Linked DNA regions of Tamandua tetradactyla. The protein of the gene in region 2 interacts with the protein of the main gene of each other region in a pairwise test. Links are inferred from orthologs where the notes say so. Each region holds a gene or a part of one and is shown on either strand. Other genes may lie near its edges.

Region 1 (7,701 bases), on a different chromosome or scaffold from region 2:
ATCTGTGATTATAGTTTTTATCAGGATTTGATAATAAGACTTTCTGTTTCTGTGAAACAATTATAATTTTAAGTATTTTTCTTTTAAACATAACTTTTTATTAGTACAGAAAAACCTAAAGGAAGACTAGCTAACAAATATTCTGTTAAAGGGTAGTTTTATAAAGAAAAATGAAATATAATTATGTTGTTTTTATAATAGTAAAAAATAGTGTTTGTATGAAAGTCAAGATCTAAGTAGCTTTTCATATAATTCAAACTAGTTGCTAGTGATATATTTTCTCTTGGTATTCTTATTTTTCCAACCTCAACGTATTAGCAGCTGTTAACATTTTTAAAATACTGCCATAATTATAACCTTAAAGTAGTTGACCTAATAAGTGAGAGCAGGGAAGAGAATATTTACAGAATATTTACTCTGAAATGATTTGCATTTTACCTTTGGTATCTGCTACAGTGAAAAGAAATTTGAAAAGTAGAAATATCAATACTTGAGAAGGGAATTGTTTATCATGAAGGGAAAGGGAAAAAGTAACAATAAATTAATGTTTTAAAACAGTGTAAGGAACTGGAATTTAGAAAGGTTAACCCTTTCTCTGCGACTTTGTGAGGAAATATTTGGAAAGCATAACTCATTTTAAAATGTTAAAAAAAAGTATTGAGAGATAACTAAAATGGCTAAGTTTTGAGAAGATGTGAAGACATACAAATTTATCTAAATATAAATTTTGTAAATCATTAAGTTGAACATGGCAAACATTTGAAAAGTGTAAAATCCAGTGTTGAGAAAACATTCAGCATGGTGGAAATCTGTAGTACTTATTGGCAAGAGAGGATTGTGCTAAAAGAAACAGGATAAAATATTAAAATTAAAAATTTAAGCATTACCTCAGGGAAAAGCCTTGACAGTGAAAGGAAACTGCTTAATCACTAACAGCTAGTCTGGACCAGACACTTAACTGCACTTTGGGAATAATACTGCACTAATCAGGAAATAAACTTGACTTTTCTATTTCTCTCTGAAGCTTTTCAGGACATCCTCTCTCCACCACCACCACCACCACTTTTTTTTTTTTAAAGCTACAGCATCTTTGATTCATACTATAATTCCTGAAATACATTAAATGGATTTCTTTAGGTTCCTTGTGTTTTTTGTATGAAGAGTAATGTGCTCTTTCTATAACCATGCCATTCACTTAAATAATTCATAGAGGGAAAGCTTTAATTTAAAGGAAGACCCAATAGGAAGAAGATTAAAGGAAGCTTTTAGTCAGCTTGTGGCTAGATTTATTGATTTGATCAAACCTGTGTTCTTTCTTGAATTTCATCTAATGGCCAACTGTGGTCAAAAAGTTGCTTTCAGTTAAAGTTTTGACATAAATAATATAAAGAATGTCTTAGAAATTGGAAATCCTTTAAAAAGTAGAACAAATGTGGTAAGTAGGGCTCACATTATTGAACAAATACCATTTATTTTTATAAGAAAAACACAGACAAATTATTTATTCATGAGACAAAGCCATTAAGATAAATCAAGTTATCAGCTTCCTGTTTCTCTTCAGTTTGGATCATTTTATCGATCCACATAATAGAGAGCTTCCTTCCTATGTAACAAAAACCTTAAGACCTAACTCTTATAAATACACTCATTTGCATTTAAAAAATGGAGTTTTGTCACTTTTAGTTATAAATCAGAGTCCAATAAACAGCTTATATATTGATTTTGGTGGAGCAGATGTCTCAGGAAAGTATACTTTTAAGTATACTTTAAAATTATTCCTGGAGGGCGGGCGATGGTGGCTCGAGCCTCGCCTGCCCTGCTGGAGATCCGGGTTCGATTTCCGGTGCCTGCCCATGAAAAAAAAAAAGATTCCTGGAGACAAGGAAAAAATTCTAATGTAAAATAGTCTGTAGCATTAGGTAACTTAATGCCAAAATGAGTTAAAGATTTTGAGTCAAGTAAATAATTGTTTCTACTTTGGGGGGAAAAAAACTTAACAATTTTTGTTTTAACAATCAATTGTACACTCATTTTTTAATTTCTAAAAAAAGAACCAAAAGCACAAAGGGTTTTTCTTTTGTTCAATGGCCTAGTAGAAAAACTGAGCAGTGCTGCAAGAGTCTATCTATACTACTTTAATTCATTAAGATACTAGACACAAAATGGACATAAATTTTAAAAATAGATTGGCTTTTAATTAGAAATGTAGACTGATGGATATAACCCAATGGAAAGGGATTTAGGGCATATGAATTCTTTTCTAAATAAAGCCAAAGTCTATCTTTGATTTACTTTAGACTTTTGAGTAGATTATTCAGTCCTAAATCTTTCTTTGCCTTCATTTCCTTATATAGAAAATGTAGGTAATAATACTTGTCACTTGGCTTTCTATAGGTTAATTCTAAAGTTAAGAAGTGGCCCTTGGGGCATACTTGAAAATAAGTACAGCTTTTAAGTAGTAATGTAATGATTTTCAAAGTATCCCTTTAATAGACCCTGCAGAATCACAGTCACATCTTTTAGTTTGTAATAACCTTTCCTGGCTTGCTTTGACAATAGAGGTAACTCCAGATTTGAATTCACTGTTTGGACTCTGCAATTAGATGAACAATTGTAATTTCCTCCTACACTTTAGAAGGCCTATGTAAAATTGATGTTTGCCTAACTTATTTTAAAATTGATTACATTTGCAGGAAATAAAGATAATCATTTTTGCCATACATGTAGTCAAATTTAAGCTTTCAGACTTGAGAGACATGGTGTAAAACTCAGAGGTTTACTCAAAGAATACTGTCTTTACCAGAATTGGATAAACTCTATAAGCCAAGTATGAATTTGATATCTACTTGAATGTACAAAGCTTAAGTAGTAACTTCACAAAACTATTAGTACTCTTGTCAATCAGGCTTGTATGATTTATTCTCCACCCCTTCCTCCCCAAAAGTAAACTATTTTCATTTTTATTTCTAATCCTGGAGTTGAATGTTTCTTCTTGGCTGTGACTTTAAATAAATTGATCTGAATAAATTCTCATTTCTTCTTAATTAAAACAATATATGAAATCCAAAGGCTTTGTATTTTGTTTTTAAAACATTGTATGGCCTCTCATGTTCAACTTAGAATATGTAAAAAAAAATTTAAAACTCTGTAGTCTCACAAATTTTCTAATTTACAATACACTCCTTTTAGTTTTTCATGTGTCAGTTTGGGTCTTCCAAGAAGAGATGCCAAGATGCGATTAAATGCACAACAGACTTATTGAGGGAAACACCCATGAAGGATAAAGGGGGAGGAAATAGGAGAAGGTGGGGAAGTCTAAAGACAACATTGCAAATCTGACACCTGTAAAAGGAAAACTGGAAGGAAAGATTGGGTAGAGTGGGCTTCAGACTGCAGTGCAATTCTGAATATTCAGAACCATATGGGGAGTTAGTTTCCAAACAAACTTTGCCCGTAGAAAATCCAACATAGAACAAGAATCGCCTGGCTCTAGAACCCCAACCCTGCTCAGTTATTGAATGGAAACAGCAGGAAAAATCTGGAGGCTGTCAGTCATTCTAATAGAGGCCACAACTAGGGTGAGGTTTTAAAAAAATATTCTGTGGAACAAAATATCAACATTTTAGATAAATGCAGAATCTGGATTACTGATATTTCCTTCTGCTTCAGGCTTCAGTAGGGCTCTGCAAAGCACTGCTGGTCAACTGCCTTTTATAAGTCAGGGTTGGTTTATCCACACTAGTGGTGTGATTGTCAATAGACCAGAGCCCTGTACTCCTATCCAAAGTTATGTCTTTCCAAGACTTAGGTATCTGATGTTCTATTGCTCATTTCTGTATGAGAAGTATATGCTGCGAGCACACCCAAAGCTAAGTCTTCATCTAGGTAGTTCATAGTCAATGACCGGCCACTGACCCACAAACGCCTTACACAAGCAAAATAATGTAGTGTACAGCATACTTTTAACAACTAGCTTCAACTATTTTTTGCACACCGTGTAATTATCACATCTTTATTACTAGCCTGTGGCTCACTGACGGCTGGGACTATGTCATTTATCTTTTGGGCCTCACACGGAGTAGGTGCTTAACGGTTATTCAAAAATGAACATGTGCGGAGAAGAGGCATTGCTCAGGAAAAATGCGAAGAGAGAGCTGTTCCTTTAGTTAATGGCAATTTATCAAGCCATTTGTAAATGTGTAAATGTTTTTCCTTTCCTGCATTGTTCATTCAACTCCAATTTTGGCTTATGGGTGTCTAATGTCTGAGTCCTTTGCTAGGCGCAAACTGGCCACATACACACACACACACACACACACACACACACACAGCAAACTGGCCACATACATACACACACACACACACACACACACAGCCTCCTTCGAGGCCCGGTTGTAAAAACTGCTGCGCTTAGGGGTGCAGAATAGGGCCTGGCCTCAAGCCGCCACTCAAGGCAACAAGTTGTCAATTTCCCCTGAACTTCACCGGCCACAGGCGTTTCTTCCTAGTCCTAGGAACTTTGGAAAACATGGGAGTTTTCCACCCGCCGACTAAGAAGAGCCGCACCGCCCAGCCGGGACCGGATGCAGTGCTGCCCGGGGCCTGCAGGGAGCGCGCCGGACCAGCCGCGAGGGGAGGGGCGGGAGCGCGCGGGGGAGGCACGCTAGGCGCTTCCTGTTCCGGCGCCAGGAGGAGCCGCGCGCTGCCGTCGCTGCTGCCGCCGTCGCTGCCTCTGCCGCCGCTGCCTCTGCCGCTGCTGCTGCCGCTTCTGCCGCCGCCGCCCGTCAGGTTGCGTTTGGTTCGTCAGCCTTCAGTTCCTTCGTACCCATCGCCGCTTCTAGACCTTGCTACGGATTGGATCTTGCCGGGTGAGGCTGCTGTGGCGCTGGTGGGAGTCGCGGAGCGGGCCCGGAAAGATTACGTTGAAGGGCTGGAGGGCGGGCTCAGTAACGGCGGTGCCTCGAGTCTCCTCCGGTGCTTGGGCCGTGCTCACCTCCCTGGGAGGTGAGCGTTTCTCTCGGTCACCTCCTTGCGGGCCCCAGATTGGCCGCCACCACCCCCCATCGCCCACCCAAGGAGAAGGCGTCCGAGGCATCCAAGGCGGTGACGTCACGCCCGGCGGGTTTCTCGGCGCTTGACGTCAGGCCGGGTGGGGGCGGGGCCTACTCCCCTCCCCCACCCGCCGGGGCGGGCGCGACCCGCTCGGAGGCCGGTTCGCTCCGGTTGGTCCCGCATTCCCTTTGTTTCTTCGGCCCCGGAGGACTGTAGGCCTCGCGCCCCTTGGCGCAGACCCCCCGCCCCTGCTGATTAATTTCTGATAAAAAGGGAGGAAGCCCTGAATTAGATACTTAGAGGAGTCTGATGCTTTTTTGAGGTGATTGTCAGGGTGACAGCGTTTTGATTATTCTCTAGACGAGTTGGGGACAATGCGTTCAATTTTGGATACCCGTGACAGGAAATACGAGACGTGCCGAGTTCTGTAATGCTTTCTTTTCTTTTTTTTGGATCTTGGGGTATATATTAGGTATTGCGGTTCATAAATAGCTTAATCTTTTTTCTCTATACTTTAGAAACCAACAATAGTGCTTTTAATAAAGATTCTGACGTTGACCCGTCCGTCCAGGCCCACTTGACTGGAAATTATTTTTTATAGCATTACTATTAGAGAAATACACATTTGTGCACCTAGTAGTTGTACAGGCCTGTTTTGAAAACAGAGCCTTATTGCAGGTGGACTGTTACCTCAGAAATAGTTCAGAAGTGTTTTGGAGGAAGGGAAAATACAGATTTTCGTTGATACTGGTGTCTCGGATCCCCCTATTCAAAACTAATTTGCCCCCAGAAACTTTTGAATTGAGATGCATAGATGGGACTGTTTCTGACATCTCTCCTGGAGAAACGGATGATAGCTGTCCCTAGTTTTCTATCTGAAACCCTTGGGGCCAGTGTGTTTTGGAATTTAGAAATCTTTGGATTTTTCCTTTAGATTTTAGAAATACAGTCTGGTGCTTAAACAGCTGATAATACCCCCCGTCCCCCGCGTGAGTCGCAGCACCCAAACATCCAACTTTTATTTGTGGAGGTGTGAATATCCACTCATTTAAGTGGGAATTAATAGGAACTACAAATAGCCTCAGTTCAGGTTTTGCCTCCAAGTAAGTTTTGTGCGAAAATTGGCACAGTTTCTTTTGTTTTCAAAGGTTTGGAGATTGAAAGATAAGAACCCTGTAATAGTAATTATAAAAGCTAGTATTTGTTGAATTTTTGCTATGTGCCAGACGAGTCAGAGATTTACTTATTGTATAAGTCTTCCAGCTCCTCTGTGAGGTAGATACTGTTCGTATTTTCTTTTTAACCTGTGGGGTTTGGACAGTTTCATTTGTCCAAGGTTCAGAGCCAGCCAGTGAAGAGCTGCACTTTGAGCCTAGGCGGGTATTCTTTCAGTATTCATTTTTTTAACCAAATGCTCATCTGCCCATTTACAAATGAAGGTAAGAGAATTTGGTATTCGTGGCCCACCCATTTTTTCCAGGTACATAGTAGATATTTGACATGTCACGCTTAATCTCTCACAACATTATTAATATATTCTTCAGAGTTGAAGAAGCAGATTCATTCAGATGAGTTGACTCTTAAGTGACCAAAGAGGAGTCACATCCTGATCTAAGGTCTCCTGTCTGCTAAGAGTTTCAGATCCCTTCTCTCCTTTGCTATATTCCGACCAATCTGAGCTGTTTGTACTTCCCCACAGCTGCCTTCTTGCCTCTCTCCCATCTTTTGAAAGAAATTGCCCTCTTTTCCTTAGAATTTGCCCCTAGATCTATCCTCATTTTTCTTCTAGACTGTGAAGGCACCGCTCCTCAGGAGTCCTTCCTGACATCCCCTTTCTTGATTCCTTTAGGGTCCTCTTGGAGGTAGTCCCATAGCACCCTGTGCTTAGGTAATGTAGCTGCGTTTTATGGTAGCATTAAGCCTTTGCTTCATGTAATACTAATTTTAGAGCCCAACACCATGACTAGCCCATATAGCTCCATACATATCTGAATATATGTATTACGTATATCTAACATAAGATTACTGAAAGATTGAATTTTTGAAATTACACGTTTTAAAGTAAATTTGAATGTGCAGAACATCTCAAAACCCCAATTTCTTGAGTTTCCAAAAGTCAGAAACAGAACATAGCTAATAAATGAACTAGTTTGAAAAGTATCATATATTCTACCTCAAAATTTGTAATTTTCAAAACAATACATTGCCATCACCCTCCCCCAATACTAAACAAATCAACATGAAAATCCTATCCAGCTTCCTTTAGTTTCTCTTAATATCTTATATGAGTATAGCACTTTATAAATCAAGTGTTACTGTAATTATCTGTGAGGTAGTTGGGGATAATTGTAACAGATGAGGAGATGGTTTCTGGTTTAGAAGTTCATAGAAATGTTATGCTTTACTTTTCTAGTGTATGTCAAAAGAAATGTGTTCTTGTAAAATTACTATTGCTGCTCATTTTCTTGGATGATGTATAGATCCTTTCGTAAGTAGTGATGGAAAATTTTCCAAGCATTGCGTTTAGGTTTTTCCAAAGGAAAGAGAAGTGAAAACCTTTTATTATTATAACTTTTTGATGGCATTCAATGTTACATTGTCCTCATTTTAATAAGTAGTATAATTCATATATTTTGGTTGAAATCTAGG
Region 2 (7,540 bases):
TAATGAAGGACAGATGTTCCCTATCTGGTTACAATGGTTTTAGGGACCAACTGCATATTACCACAGAATGAAGGGGCTTCTAGTCCCCTCCCAAGTGCTTGGTTGTCAGCCATACAGAATGGCAAGGCAAAAGCAAAAACTATTATTTTCCTTCAGAAACACAGATTGTGACTGCCCCATACCACTAAAATAACAAAGATGCCACAGAAGACTAGGTTATAGTAAATTCTAGGTGTACAATGAAAGAACAGAACCAAACCCTGGGACAAACGCAGTCTTGTTTTCTTACACACGTAAACATCTCATGAAGTAACGTGGGACCCTTTCCATGAAAGGAAGCTGCACTGAGGCAGGTTGGCACCTACCTGCTTCAGGCTGGCAATATAGCGGGTGATATACTCCACCGTGACTGGGTCCTCCACGGTTAGCCGGTGGCTCTGGCACTCAACCCGTGCCCTGTTGATTACTATCCTGGCGTCGGCGGTGAGCCCTGCCATGACAGGGAAGCAGGGTTTCCATCCTTGCCACACACCACCCGCTCCCGTGATACAGATGACACAAGCAGGATAGCAATTAACCTTTGGCAAAGATGCCAAAACCTGCCTCTGAAACCCACGGGGTCCTGTGGAGTAGCCAACAGCAGAGAAATCTGGGCATATAAAAACAAGGGTGGAGCAGACCCCATTTAGACACACTAGCTGAGCCCTCTTAAGAATCCTTTGAAAGACAAACTAATCCCTAATTTGGTTTACATGAACTGGAACCCCCCTAAAATGGATCTGCTCAGGATGAAATAAGTTAATCCACACCAAGTGCTTAGAACATTCCAGCACAGGGCAAATGGTCAATGCATACCATCCTGCTGCTGCTGCTCATAATGGCAGGACACCATCCTCTCCATTTGACCCTTTAATAGGAGCATTCTTCGCTCTAGAAAGCCTGACCCTTCTCTTGAGCATAACTAAATGGAATGGGAAAATCACAGTGAAGTGCTAAAAATAAACAGTGATTGTGACAGCCCAGCAGCTATGCTCTGTTATTTATTTAGTGACTTGTGCTTTAGCCACTTGAGAGAGGGGCCCAAAGAAATTCTGGCCAGCTCTTTTTACAGTTCCAAATAATTTCTTTTCTTTTTTATTCAGGGCCGGGGGGGAGGCAGTGGGGATGCCTGGTCCAGGAATTGAACCCAAGTCTCCTGCATGGAAAGTGAGCATTCTTCCACGTAACCATCCGTGTACCCTCCAAATAATTTCTTTTAAATGTTTTCAGCTTCCCCCGTCTTGTAATAACCCATCCACCCAAGCTGGACTCCACTGCTCTGCTCTGTGCTAGGACTCTAAGAAGCAGAATACTGTTCCCAGACACATACCTGCAAATGCCATGCAGACGTTGTCATCTAGCGCACAGATCTTCCGCACCGTTCTCTCATCCTGCAGTTTGGCCACTGATTTCTTCTCCACACCAAGAACAACGATATCTTTTCCTCGAACACCAACCTTCAATGAGAGCCAACACACCACTTAAGAAAGCAACATAAGGCTCTGCCCCTACACAAAGAAACACTAAGAGCAGAAGACATTAACATAGATCACAGACATCCTGGGGAAAGCAGCCCCAGAAGGTGGGGGAGCACCTCCCTCCTCCATTGGCTGACATTACACCCCAAATGTCACTGGTGGAACCAGCACAGGTATCCTGACCTAAAGTGCCTGATGCTGTCTGTGCCTTTAAAAGACCATTATGTAGTTCCAATGGCAGCATAACTAACTAAGCACCATATAATCTGTAACCCTGTATCATTTCACACTAATGAACCAGCAAAGCAGAGGGCCTTTAAGCCCCAGACCCAGATATTCAAGCCAGGTATTCTGGAAGCGGTGTTTTCTGGAGCTGTGGAGTTATTCCCCCACCCCTCTTTTCTGTGCCTGAATAGCCAAGGCACACAGCTGTGTGAGGGGCCGCTTTTCATGGAGGGATGACTGTATCAGCATTTACTGGGAGGTCAAACTCTCCCCTTTCACAGCTGACACTTTAGAGGAGACAATTGGTGTGGCCATTATTAAAAAAACAAAAAAACACCGATGGCCAGTTAACCCCTCCAGTCAAGACAGGAACAGACATGTATGGCACAGTTGGAGAAGTAAAATCCCCTCTTACTTCAGAGCATGGAGCATGGTCTCTCAGCCTCTGCAGGATGGGCATTTTAGGGCATGTAATTCTCAGTTGTGGGGCGTCCTGGGCACTGTGGGATGTCTAGCAGCACCCCTGGCTGCCACCCACAAGATGTCAGGAGCACCCCCCTCCTGAGACCTGACCACCAAAAACGTCTCCAAACGCTGCCAAATAACCTCTGCCTAAATCGCCACTGACTGAAAATGTGTTTGAGTTTCCAAGGGCTTTCTCTTGTTCTGTCTTACATGATCTTCAAAGTAATGGTGAGGGAAAGAAGCCCAGGCCCAGAGAGCTCGGTGGGTTAAGCAAAGCCACAGCTTTCACACATAGTTCTGTGAATTTTTGAAGTGTTTTCATTTCTTGAATTTTTGGTTGTCTTGAAACTCAGGCTCCAGGTCTATCTGCTGGCCTAACTCAACTTATACAGCACTGGGAGAGGAGTCGGCTGTCCCGCCCCCCATCCCCACTCCCCTTGCTGCCCCAGCAGCCAGCTGTGGCTTTGCTTGACCCACTGAAACCCCTCAAATACCAGGTGATTAAAAAAAAAAAATCTATCATGCAATCTGACCAATGAGAAAACAGACAACTATCTCAAAGACACCATGGGTGTAAACTGCAAACAGCAACACCAAGGGTACCCAACATGCGCGATAGTTCTGGCAAGAGGTACCTGCTCAGATATGAAGTGACAAGGGGTTGGATCACTGCTGAGCCTCGGACCCAGGACAGCCTGCCCTGCCACCTATGAGGACCACTGCCTCCCTCTCCTTTCCCCCGGGTGGGGAAAGACCTGTAACACTCCCCAGCTCTCTTGTTGCTCCGCCGTGCATCAGCACCCACACATACCATCCCTGCACCCCAGGTTCCCTCGGCCTGCAGAGTGCAAAGGTGAAGGCCCAAGATGGCCGTCACCGCGTCACCTCGCCGCGCTAGGGACAGTGCACCCTGACAACCAAAGATGCTAAAGAGAGACGAGAGTGACTTTGAATCCTGCACTTCTCTCGGGGACCTCTGCGGTTTCTGAAAACCACTAGTAAACATCTACAGTTTATGACCTTCAAATTAAAATTCAACGGCCCACCTTGCCGCCCCAAGCCCAAACTATAGGGAATAAACGGCCCCACACAGTGCGCGTGTTCTGCTTTTCTGTGCAAACAGAAGAAAGCGACACCGACACTTCCCCAGCGGGACAGCAGGTCACGAGGACTTCCCCAGTTTGTCTAAGGACACCGACGCCGCCGTGCCTTCCCCGGGCGCTCCGCTGATGTCACTGCGCTGACTTTAAGAGGCAATTTACCAAGAGGCTGCTCCCTAGGCGAAGGCGAGGCGGTCGACAGAGCGACTCGAGCGACGCATGCCGGGGCCCACTGAGAACACACGCTCTGCGGCCAGGGGGAAGGCGGCTCGGGGCTGGGCCGCTCGCCCGCGCCCCCGGCACTACCACAGGTCCTGCTCGGACACGCGCAGCCGGCGCCCCAAGCCTGGGCTCCGAGACACTGCGCCGCAAACGGCAACACGGAACCGCGGGCCACAGCACGGAAACGCGCGGGAACACAGCAGCCCTGGCGGCGGGGTCCAGGGCGCCCACCCCCGGGCATGACCCCAGGTCCCCCGGCCTCCCTGCTTGTTCCGGGGCGCGCACCTTCCCGACGACGACCCAGGGGCAGCCCGGCCCTCCCCGCCGCCGGCCAGCCAGCTCCACTTCCGCCCGGATCCCCGGCCTCGCGCAAGGCCCGGACCCGGGCTCCCGCCAACCCCGCCGGGTGCCGCCTCACCGCGGTCGAGCCCTTCTTGACGGCTTCCTGAGCGTACTCCACTTGGAAGAGGTGGCCGTCGGGCGAGAAGACGGTGATGGCGCGGTCGTAGCTCATGGCCGGAGGCGCGGCCGCAGCCTGGCTGACGGAGAGCTGTGGCCGCCACCGCCTCAAAAGCGCACACTCATCGCTGCGCACCGCGCGATTCCCGACGCCACTGCGCCGCCGCCGCCGCCGGCCCCCTCGCGGCCTACGCTGCTCTACGCTGGGGGCGCCCTACGCTGCTCGCGTCTTACGCTGCTAGTGCTGTACGCGGCTGGCACCTTACGCTACTGGCGCCGTACGCTGCTTTACACGGCCGGCACCCTACGCTGCTGGCGTAAGGCGGCGTGCGGCGCGCTCCCGCGCCGGGGTCGGAACAAACCACTGCGGCCCGGCCGGGGGTGGGGCAGTCAGTGACGGTGGTGGGGGCGAGGCGTGCTGGGCTGTTGTTGGGGATCGCACCGCGGGGCTCGGGCTCTGCCGTAGCCGGCGCGAGGGCCCGCGGGCCGGAGGGCCGGAGGGTGCGGAGGCGGCGTCGGGGTGGGCGAGCCCACGATGCGGCACCCCCCGCGCCCTCCCCTCCGCCCCCCCACCGACTGCGGAGAATGAGAGCCCTCGGCCGCGGAGCGCAGCCGGAGAATAAGCCCCTCATGATTAAGGCCTGAGCCCCGCGCCGTCGACATGTCCGTGGCTTTCGCGTCCGCCCGGCCGAGGGGGAAAGGGGAGGTCACACAGCAGACCATCCAGAAGGTGGGCGTGGGGCGCCCCGCAGGTGCTGGCGAGTGCGCACGAGTGCCGGGACGCGGGAGGGCGGCGGGAACAAAGCGCGGTGTGCAGCCGGGCCGCCGGGGGCACCGAGCCGTGCCCTCAGGGGCGCTTCCGGAGCCGCGCGCGCCGAGCCCGGGCCAACTTTGTTGGGGGCTGTCCGAGTGGCAGGGGCCCGAGCGACCGGCGGGGGATGCCTGGGTTGGGTGAGAGGCTGTGGGTTCCCCGCCGCCCCTCGGGGCCCCGGGGCGCGGGCTCGTCTAGTTACGCTGCCAGCCTGGATGGCGAGGACGGCGGCGGGCGCCACTCTCCGCGGCGCACACCTCAGCGGGCAGGGCGGGGACAACCCCGGGTGGTCGCGCCCCGCCCGCCTCCTCCAGGTGCCGACCCTTGGATCACCCAGGGGTGGGTCCCCCGTGAGGCCGGGCCGCCCCAGGGGCTCGATGGCTGACCCGCGAGTCGCCGGCTCTTCGTCGCAGGTCGGGCTGATTTTCAGCGCGACACCCGGGCCAGCAGCCACTCTCGCCACAGAAATGTTCAGATCTGCTTCGCATCGTTTCCCTTCTCTCTGAGTTTGGTAATGTGGTTTCTGGAGCTAGCATCACCTGCATTGGGGGACACCTTTCACCAGCACTTTGTCAACAGAAACCTTCAGTTTTGACGGTGAAACGTTGCATGTCCTACCATTTCTCTTTAGAAGGCAGGTTTAGCGGAAAACCACCGTTGAGCATTCCTGAATTTTCCTAACGTCTTGGGTAGCTTCGCTGACTTCTTTTCCACACTGTGGCTCTGTCTTCCCTGGACGATCTGCCCAGTCCTTTGAGGAAATTGTCCTTAACCTGTCACCTGCTAGGGTTCACCTTGCTCTGGTTGGTGCTGGTGTTTAATGGTTTTCCTCTTTTTTTTTTTTTTGACCTGGGTAGGCACCGGGAATCGAACCCGGGTCTCCAGCGTGACAGGTGAGAATTCTGCCCTTGAGCCACTGTCCCATGGCCCTTAATGGTTTTAATAAAGAGTCTCAACCCACTCTGAACAAGAAACAGCTGACTGGAGCAGCAGCAGAGAATTGGGTTTAGTTAAATTGTGTACCCAGTTATTGTCATAAGAGTGGTCAATCTTAACTCATTTAATTTGCAGAGGGGGGTAGTCGCTGTTACCCCAATTTATAGATGAGGAATCTGAGGCAGAGAGAGGTTAAGTGGAGCTGGGAGTTGGTTCCAAGGTCTGCTCTGACAGTGACAATGTGTCTGGCAGAGGGTCAGGCACTGGCCTCAAGGCCCTGCTAGCAGACCAGGGGCCCTTGCTTGGGCCTTAAGTGTGATGAGCTTGATCCTTATTCCTGAAGCCACCTTGGGCTCACAATCACCCAATTATTTGCACGTTGCCAAGCCAGCACTAAAGCTCTCCAAAATTTCTAGGCAGGAGTGCATTATGCAGCTATCCCTAAATGTGGTTTGATCAGAAGGAAGGAAAACCTGCTGACCCTGCATCCCAGGGCAGAGATAGCCTGCTACTTGTTGAAAATGGGTCTTCAGTTCGGGCTTCCAGCAGGCCTTACCTGGTAGGGCCAGCAGTCTATATCCTCACACCTTGGCATTTTGACAGTAAATATATGTACTCAGGTCTTTTATTGGGGGCATGTGGCAGGTGCATAGTATATACTGATGTGTGCTGTGTACACAGCATGTGCTAGAAACTCATCCCAAGGGTGTTGGGAAAAGCCAGGGGTTCCTCAGAAACCTGTGTGATGATAAAGAGGCAGGGAAATACAACTTGTTCTTAGAGCTTATCTGAGAAAGAATTCTTCTGGGCAAACTTCTACTCAATCTTCAAAGCCCCACTCACATATCCCCTCAGTCGTATGTCAGTGTATGTGGTCAATATAGGTCTTTCACACCTTGCTTAGGCTCCCAGGCAAGTTTACTGAGTTATTCTTTGCTGTACTCCCAGCCTGGCCTGGCACTTGGACAGTCAATGTCAGAATATACAGAATCTCTGACTGTGGTTCTGCCAGTGGGAGTATTTGGGGATTGATGGACATGTGGAGGGGAAGGTATTCCAGATGAGAATAACCAAAGGAGCAGACATGGGAGGTCTAGAAGTTTGAGGGAGTCTTGTGTGGCCCCATATGCGGCCAAGCACGTGGTTAAGTACAGGAGTGAGATGCAGTGCACTTTGATGAGAAACACCAAATCACAGAGGACCCCACTTTCCAGGGACACTCCACTGTCCCCTGTACCTGAGTGACTGACTCCCTGGCCAAGACCTGCCCTCCTTTGCTTTCCACCAACTCAGAACCCAAGTATCCCTGCTCTGAGGCCCCTGATGCCATGGTTATGTGGGGTTGTGAAAAGGCTTGGGTACCTGGAGGGGAGGGGGCCTGGATCTCATTGGGTTTGCAAGGTGCTTCCTGCCCCCAGGCACACGGGAACTTCTCAGTGTAAGTTATCATTACTGTTCATGGTGCAGTGGGGAGATACAGAGCAGCAGCTCTCTGGAGAACAGGGCAGAGCTGATGAGCTGGGCCAACTTGTGGTATGGGCCTGGTAGAGGGATGTGAAGCTGGAGAGGCCTGGGGCCTGGGAGCCCAGTCGGGGAGTGGTTGAACTCAGACTAGCCCTGCTCCAATGGCTCCCATTCCCGGTGAGGGATGCAAGGGTAAGAGATGGCCATCTGGCCAAGGGATGGGTAAGTAAGTGATGGGTGGATGTGTCTAGGCACGGGGTGCGTGTCTGCACAGTGGTTGGTACCTTGTGCTCTCTAGACCAGGAGTCTGCTGTCTTAAAGAACGTGGGCTAATTTGTTAG
Region 3 (6,948 bases), on a different chromosome or scaffold from region 2:
AATGTATGCATTTGCAACTATAAATTTCCTTCTGAGCACTGCTTTCATTGCATCCCATAAAGTTTGGTATATTGTATTTTCACTTTCATTCATCTCAAAGTAGTTTCTCATTTCTCTTGTGATTTCTTCTTTGACCCATTGGTAGTCTAATATTGTACTCTTCTATTTCAACATATTTGTTAGTTTTCCAAATTTCCTTCTGATATTGAAATCTAATTTCATTCCATTGTGATCGTAGAACACACTTTGTATGAAATTAATCTTTTAATGTTTATTGAGGCCTATTTTTTTGGCTTAATATATGATATATCCTGAAAAATGTTCCATATATTCTTGAAAAGAATATATATTCTGCTTTTGTTATTTGGAGTGTTCGTTGGTGTCCATTAAATAACTTATAAATCTTCTATTTCCTTTTTATCTCTATTCAGTTGTTCTATCCATTATTGAAAGTGGGGTGTTGAAGTTTCCAACTATTATTGTTGAACTGTCTAATTCTCCCTTCCATTCTGTCAGTATTTGCTTTGTGTATTTTGGAGTTCTGTTGTTAGCTATATAACCCAAATTTACTTTTATTTGAAAGTAGCAACAACATGAAAATTATTAAAATAAGGCAGACTATGAAGTTCTTTCTATAATAGCAAAGTTCATTTGGTAGATAAAAATAAAATTAGGGGAAGCATGAACTTTCATGGTAGAAAATTTCATAGTATATGATTCCTCCAGACCATACCAATTCCAGGCATAGTGCAGACAAGGAGAAAGATGTTTCTCAGCAATGAAAGAGTGAAATTTTATTTCTTTGTTTTTGAGAACTAAAAGGGATCTAAAGTTTTGGAGTAAAAATATTGGATATATTTTATTAATGGCTTTCTCTGTCCCAGGTACTATACTAAGTTCTTCTTTGTGATGTTTCATTTAATCCTCATATCATGAATAAGGTGGTGTCTAATATCAACAGAACCTGATCAAGCATTCATGTGTAAGGGTGATGCTTCACGGAAGTGTTCCCAGGGAAATGGGTGAGGGACTAGGCATTGCAGGAACGGAGGGTGAAGAAGCCAAGCAAGGATGGGATTTCAGGAATGGTCCAGTGGAGGATGGATTCAGCCTGAACCCACAGAAGAACTCTAGATTGTAAATGATGCCCCAGATTTTCATTGTGAAGACAAAGAGCCTGGCTTTCAATTCCTCCGAATCATCAGTCATTGACTAAGGGTTGCTCAAGGAATATAAACTCCAAGGCCCTTGGACTGTTTCTGCTTATGTGCAAAGGCAGTCTGGTAGCCAAGGGAAGCTCCTCTGAAGGACCTGAGGTGCTCTTAGATGGTGACAGAGGGGTGCTCAGAAGATGAGAGGGATCAAGAGGTATGTCTGGACTGAGCACCCATGAAATCTACTACAGATAGGTACTCTTGTTTCCATTTTAGAGAGAAGGAAAGTTAGGCCAGAAGGCTAAATGTGCAATCACATAAAGAATGAGTGCAAATGTATCTGACTCCAAAGTCCTATTCCTTTCTCCTTATTATGATACTTCTAGTCATGAAGATATTGTCATTTGGGAACTTCCAAGAATTGTCTTTCAGAAATCATTATTCTGTTTTCTTAAAATAGAAACAATTTTGTCAGGGATACTTTACTTAGGATCTGTCAAATCATATGTGAAAATTTGCCTGCTTGAACGTGAGTTTTTCATGTGCCTTTCCAACTCGCCCCCCCACCCCCGGCCCAGGGAAAGAGTCGATGGCTAACACGAATTTCTCAAAGGAAATACAAAACACAAAAGGTTAAGAGCCACAATTTTCAAAGGCCAGTCTCCATATTTACCTACTTTCCTATGTTATGACTTTACTATTCACTATTACTTCTCTAAAATATCGGTTCTCATGAGTTTAAATTTATTAATAATAGATGGAAATTTGGGGTTATGACTTTTTTCCCTCTTCGTTTTTTGCTGCATGTCATAAATTTGTGAAAATTAGCTAAAGCTCTTTTAAATCACTCTTTAAACATTTGGTAAAATTCACAGTAGATTAATCTTATCTGAGGCTTTTATTTTATTTTGTAGTTGAAATCTTTTTATAATTATAAGCCCATTTACATTTTCTATTTCTGAATAGAAGCACAAAGAACTTTACATGCTATTTTGTTAGGCAGATGACTTACTTAAATTAAGGCAAAAAGTTCAGTTGGGGACATAAAGGAACTTGGTTTAAATTTCCATTGACCAATGCAGTTGGATAATTGCCAGATATTCACTTAGTGTCTGTATGGCTTACACATACACACACACAAACACACACAAATACAAACACACAACAACCTGGGTATCAAGTGAACAACATTAAAAAAAAATCCTAGTAATTTGCCTGAACAGAATTTTCCTGCTGTTTATGCCATATAACTGATCATGCAGTTAATCACCAGGCCTGGCTTTACAGAATGAATCTAAAGCTATCTTTTTAGTATTAAATAGCTAACCCCATGTCCTGAGAGAGCTCTCTGGACAGCCTCAGGTATCTGGATGTGTGAATGGGTGGGTGGACCCTGCCAGACCTAACTGCTAGAGTTACCAGGTAAAGGAAAAACTTTTGACAGAGAAATAATGCCTTTCCCAACAAGCGGTGCGGAAAAAAAAAATTGGAGAGGTTCAGATATACCCATAATTTTGGTTGCTTAGGTAACCTTAGCAATGTATTAGAATGTATTTTTAGAATACAGAATGTATCATTCTTCCCCATAATTTACCTTTCAGCCACCCACCACCTTGGATCAGATCCTCTTTTGTTTCTAGTTTAAATTTCATTGTAATCTAGTTTGATACTGAATTTGCATTCAGCGTCTTTCTAATGCTGCAAGAGAGAGGATGAATGACAGGATGAAGTTGTGGTGAGGCAATGTGAACCAAAGCTGGATCCTGGCTTTTCCTGGAGAATGCCCGGCATAGAGTAAGCGCAGGGCTGATTTGTTGAAGAAACAACGAATGGAAGGAAGGAAAGATTGTGTGGCAGTCAGGCAACCCCGGCCCAACTCTACGCACTGCTCCTTCTTAGAGAGAGCATAAGTGATGTTCATGACTCTTGACATTAATTATTTCAATTTCATTTCAACAAATGTTCGTTGCATAATCCCTAGATGGATGAGGCATTTCCAGGGACCCGTTTAAATAACAAAATATTGTAAATGGGGGTAAAGGCATCTTTTCCAACAAGCCCAGGGCCAGAACCCCGAGAGAGGCGAGACTCCGGAGTTTGAGCCCTTGTGTGCCCTGGAAGTGCTCTCCGCGCCCGCGAGCGCTGCTCTGCCGCCCGCACTACGGCTCTAATGTATCCTCGAGCCACTGAAAAGAGCCCTCATCTGTCCCTAGGTTATTCCGAGAATAAGTAAATCCCTGCCACTCAGCGTACAGAGGGAGCGGAACTCTGCACCCTGTTCTGTGCGCACACAGCCACCGCTACCCGTTCGGGAGCATCATTTGCATTTCTCGAGAGTAGCGATGGGGCGAGTTTCAGCTGCGCTTCCCCGGGCAAGAAGAGTAGAACTTTTAGGATAATCTGGCCTTGGGTATGAAAAGTGTCCTCCGGCCGAGCAAGAAAAGAGAGGAGGAAGGAGAGGGTAAGGGTGTGGGGGAAAAGGACTGCATTGCTTGGGCGCGACTGGGGCGCAGGTGAGGAAGTGAGTTCTGAGTTGAGCCGCTGTCGAGACGGCACAGGGGTGGAGAGTGGCAGGCGGTCGCACTCACCCGCTCTGGCTTCAGGGCCATCCGAGCCGTAGCCTTGCCCTGCGATCCTCCTCCGCGACGCACCTGGGCGCAGGAGCCTCCGGCCTCCTCCCCCACCCCAGTGGCCCCAGGTCCCCACCCCCGCCGCGCCCCGCCCCGGGCTCTGGCTCGGGGCTCCGCGGGGAACCGGCTGGCGGCGGCGCAGAGGTCTCCGGTGGCCGGAAGGATGGCCAAGGTCCCGGAGCTGGAAGACGCCTTTCTGCAAGCGCAACCTTCGCCCGGAGTTCCCCGGGAGATGCCGGAGGAGTGTTGTGTGCAGTTACTGGGTAAGGGCTTGCTCGCCTACCCCGAGGAAAGGGTGTACCTGGAGGCTGAAGCGCAGCCGGGGGGCGCGCTGGGCAGCGGGGAGAAGGAGGAAGATCCGGAGCTGCTGGTAGGAGTTAAATCAGGTGAGTGCTTTCACACACACACACCCCCTCCCCGGGGAAGTGATTGGGACGCGAGAGTATTCTAAGCAGGGCATCCAATAATAAACTTATACACAGTGCAGACATACATATAAGCAGAATGTTCTGTCCAGATCTTTATATTTCCCCAGGAAAATGTCAACTAGAGATTGTTACCTATTGGGGATTTTGCATAGCTGCGCCCCTGCCCATGACTGACGCAAAATTATGTGTAAAGGGTACTTGATTGATTTCGTACTCTGCTTTTCTCCATCATCTTTTCGACTGACAATCAGAAATGCATTTAAGCAATGGTAACTTTTCTTCTGAAGAAGAGGATGCAGATAGTCACGACAGCAAAACCAAAGTAGCCGATCAACACCTCTCTCAGAAGAAAACCATCACGCAGATTATGAAGGATAAAAAGAAACAGACTCAGCTGACACTGCAGTGGTAAGATTGTCCCGCGGGGGCACATCTGTGCACCTGTTGCTCTTTAAAAGCCAGTGTCTGCACCTTTGCTTTTCCTAATCTGCTTCTCCCTCGAAGCTTTTGGGGAAGTTAAAAACTCCAGTGAAAAATTCATTCAAAACTTTTTTCTCCTACTAACTTGTATATGTTTGTTTGTATAAAGTCATTCTGGTAACTGATCGAAAATTATCTGTAATAAATACGAACCACATTACTTTATGGTTTTTCTTCATCATGAGAACGTTCATTCAGTTGGTCCTTTCGTTTGTTATTTGGCAGTTATCTCATTCACAAAGCATAATTTGAAAAAAAAATAAAGGGAGAGAGGACCTTTATTTAACTTTATTCATGAGGGCAAATTAAAAATAGTGTATTGATCATAAGATGCATTGTATCTAAACTAGACAGAAAAATCAGCTTAGATATCACTATTAACTAAATAAATGTTGAACTATTTTATAGCACCTGTCACATATGAGCTGTTATAAAGAAATATCATGCATTGGATTTTTAGCAAATCTTTTAAAAACAAGAGATTATCAGTATGCTCTTTCTCTATGTACAGGATATTTTGTAATATTGATCTAAAAGGGAAAAAAGACCTAAAGTAACAACATAATGTAAGGATTTCCCTCATTATGTGAAGAAATAGAGTATACATTTCCTCCCAAATAAATCAACAAATCAATAAAAAGTGTTATTTACTCACTGATGAGTTAAATATTCTGTTTGTATGTCAAATCTGATACGAACTTTAGAAAAAGATAATAGAAAAAAATTGACAAAAACTAGTAAACTTTATTTTTATCTATTTAAACATTGAATTAAAATTTACATGCACTGATTTTTTGTGATTATGTACTTGAACTCTTTGAAATATTTTAAGTATTCCTCTAAAGCTATGGCTTAAATATTGTAGTTGATGTGTTTACTCGCTAAGAATACACTAGAGCTGTAAATAATTGACCCAATCATCTCGAATATTTAGGACAAAACTATTTTTGTTAGGATAACTGGGGCAAAATGTTTTGATTTCAGGTATATTATGGAGGTGTTTTGAATAATCACTCCTTTTTTTATTTCAAATTGAGTAAATGGAAACAATCTTGGGTTTTTATTTTATAAATATTCATACATTAAGTTTAAAGAAAATTATGACAAACTCAAATTTAAAATTTTACTCATGTTTATGATTACTTAGTATTTTTGAAGATAGGCAATGCTTAGAACAATAAGATGTTTTATTAGAAATATATATTTTTTGAAGATGAAAACAATGCCTAGAAAAATATTAATATAGGTGAAAAGTAGGGATTATGTGTATATTATAAAAATGTCATTTTTAAATAACTGAATATTTCCCAAAGTGATTTTCATACTTTTTGAAACTATGAAATGCTGTAATTTTTGCTGTAATTTTCTATACCCTCTCCAAAAAAGTGAGTGTTATACTTGCATCCTTTGAAATTATAAATTGTTTTGGGGATGTTAACAATTAGAACTGCAAACCAGAATGAAAAAATATGGCTGATTAACTCATTTTCACTGTCAAGAAGATGTTTGGTTTTATAAATGCAAATTGATTTTATACTTTAAATCCTTAGGTCTTACTGATTTTTTCCCCAAAGAAGACGAGTACCTGATGTTTTACCTGCCCAGGGAATACTTCCTTTAGCGTTTATCTTATGCACATTGAGAATATATTAAATCAGGAATCTTAAAGGGTGCCGTCATTTTAAATCTGATCGTGTACTCCGTATTATATTGTTTCCATATTATAATTATCATGATTTTACAACACATAAAATGGGCATAAGTAAGTTTTAGCCAGATTCACCTATTGAATTTTTAGAAGATCGAAATAAAATCTAAAGGTTCTGATTTCTAGATTGTTGTTCAGATAATTGTAACACATACACACATATATTTAATGAATTGATTTAAACTGCATTTGCAGAAATCCAGATTAAATATAATTATTTTTCAAATTTAAAATTCATATAATTATATTCATAATGTAAAGTTGAAATTATATGTCCTATTTGAAGGCAACTATAGAGAATTACCTTCTTTTAAGTGTACAGGTTGCCTTAAGTATTATAATAATGATCACAGCAGAAAAGGTAGTGTGATAGAAATAGATCAGTATCATTTCAGACTTGAGTGAAATTATTTTTGTGTATTTTGCAAATAATTACATCAAATTATTTGGGGTTCAGTACTTTTTAGGGAAGAAAAGTAAGGAATGTAGGCTTTTACCAACCTTGGTGTTGAGAATGTTGAGTTCTTTTAAAAAAAAATCATGGGCGG

What was found.
Region 1: the proteins of SS18L1 (region 2) and MAPK1IP1L interact in binary tests that used the Homo sapiens proteins (3 or more experiments, as listed by UniProt). The two-hybrid records come from large-scale screens. The link is inferred for Tamandua tetradactyla from reciprocal best matches to the Homo sapiens genes SS18L1 and MAPK1IP1L.
Region 3: the proteins of SS18L1 (region 2) and RFX6 interact in binary tests that used the Homo sapiens proteins (3 or more experiments, as listed by UniProt). The two-hybrid records come from large-scale screens. The link is inferred for Tamandua tetradactyla from reciprocal best matches to the Homo sapiens genes SS18L1 and RFX6.

Annotation. Positions count from the first base shown.
Region 1 is NC_135338.1:11,053,411-11,061,111, reverse strand, and holds the start of MAPK1IP1L (MAPK-interacting and spindle-stabilizing protein-like), read left to right. Parts: upstream 1-4,700; 5' UTR 4,701-4,868; intron 4,869-5,186; exon of another isoform or gene 5,187-7,701.
Region 2 is NC_135327.1:59,721,297-59,728,836, forward strand, and holds the start of SS18L1 (calcium-responsive transactivator), read left to right. Parts: upstream 1-4,518; 5' UTR 4,519-4,649; coding exon 4,650-4,718; intron 4,719-4,882; exon of another isoform or gene 4,883-4,939; intron 4,940-5,064; exon of another isoform or gene 5,065-7,540. Other genes in the region: PSMA7 (proteasome subunit alpha type-7), read right to left, coding at 366-490, 1,370-1,496, 3,948-4,043. UniProt on the Homo sapiens protein: Transcriptional activator which is required for calcium-dependent dendritic growth and branching in cortical neurons. Recruits CREB-binding protein (CREBBP) to nuclear bodies.
Region 3 is NC_135331.1:177,780,463-177,787,410, forward strand, and holds the start of RFX6 (DNA-binding protein RFX6), read left to right. Parts: upstream 1-3,947; coding exon 3,948-4,170; intron 4,171-4,463; coding exon 4,464-4,620; intron 4,621-6,948. UniProt on the Homo sapiens protein: Transcription factor required to direct islet cell differentiation during endocrine pancreas development. Specifically required for the differentiation of 4 of the 5 islet cell types and for the production of insulin.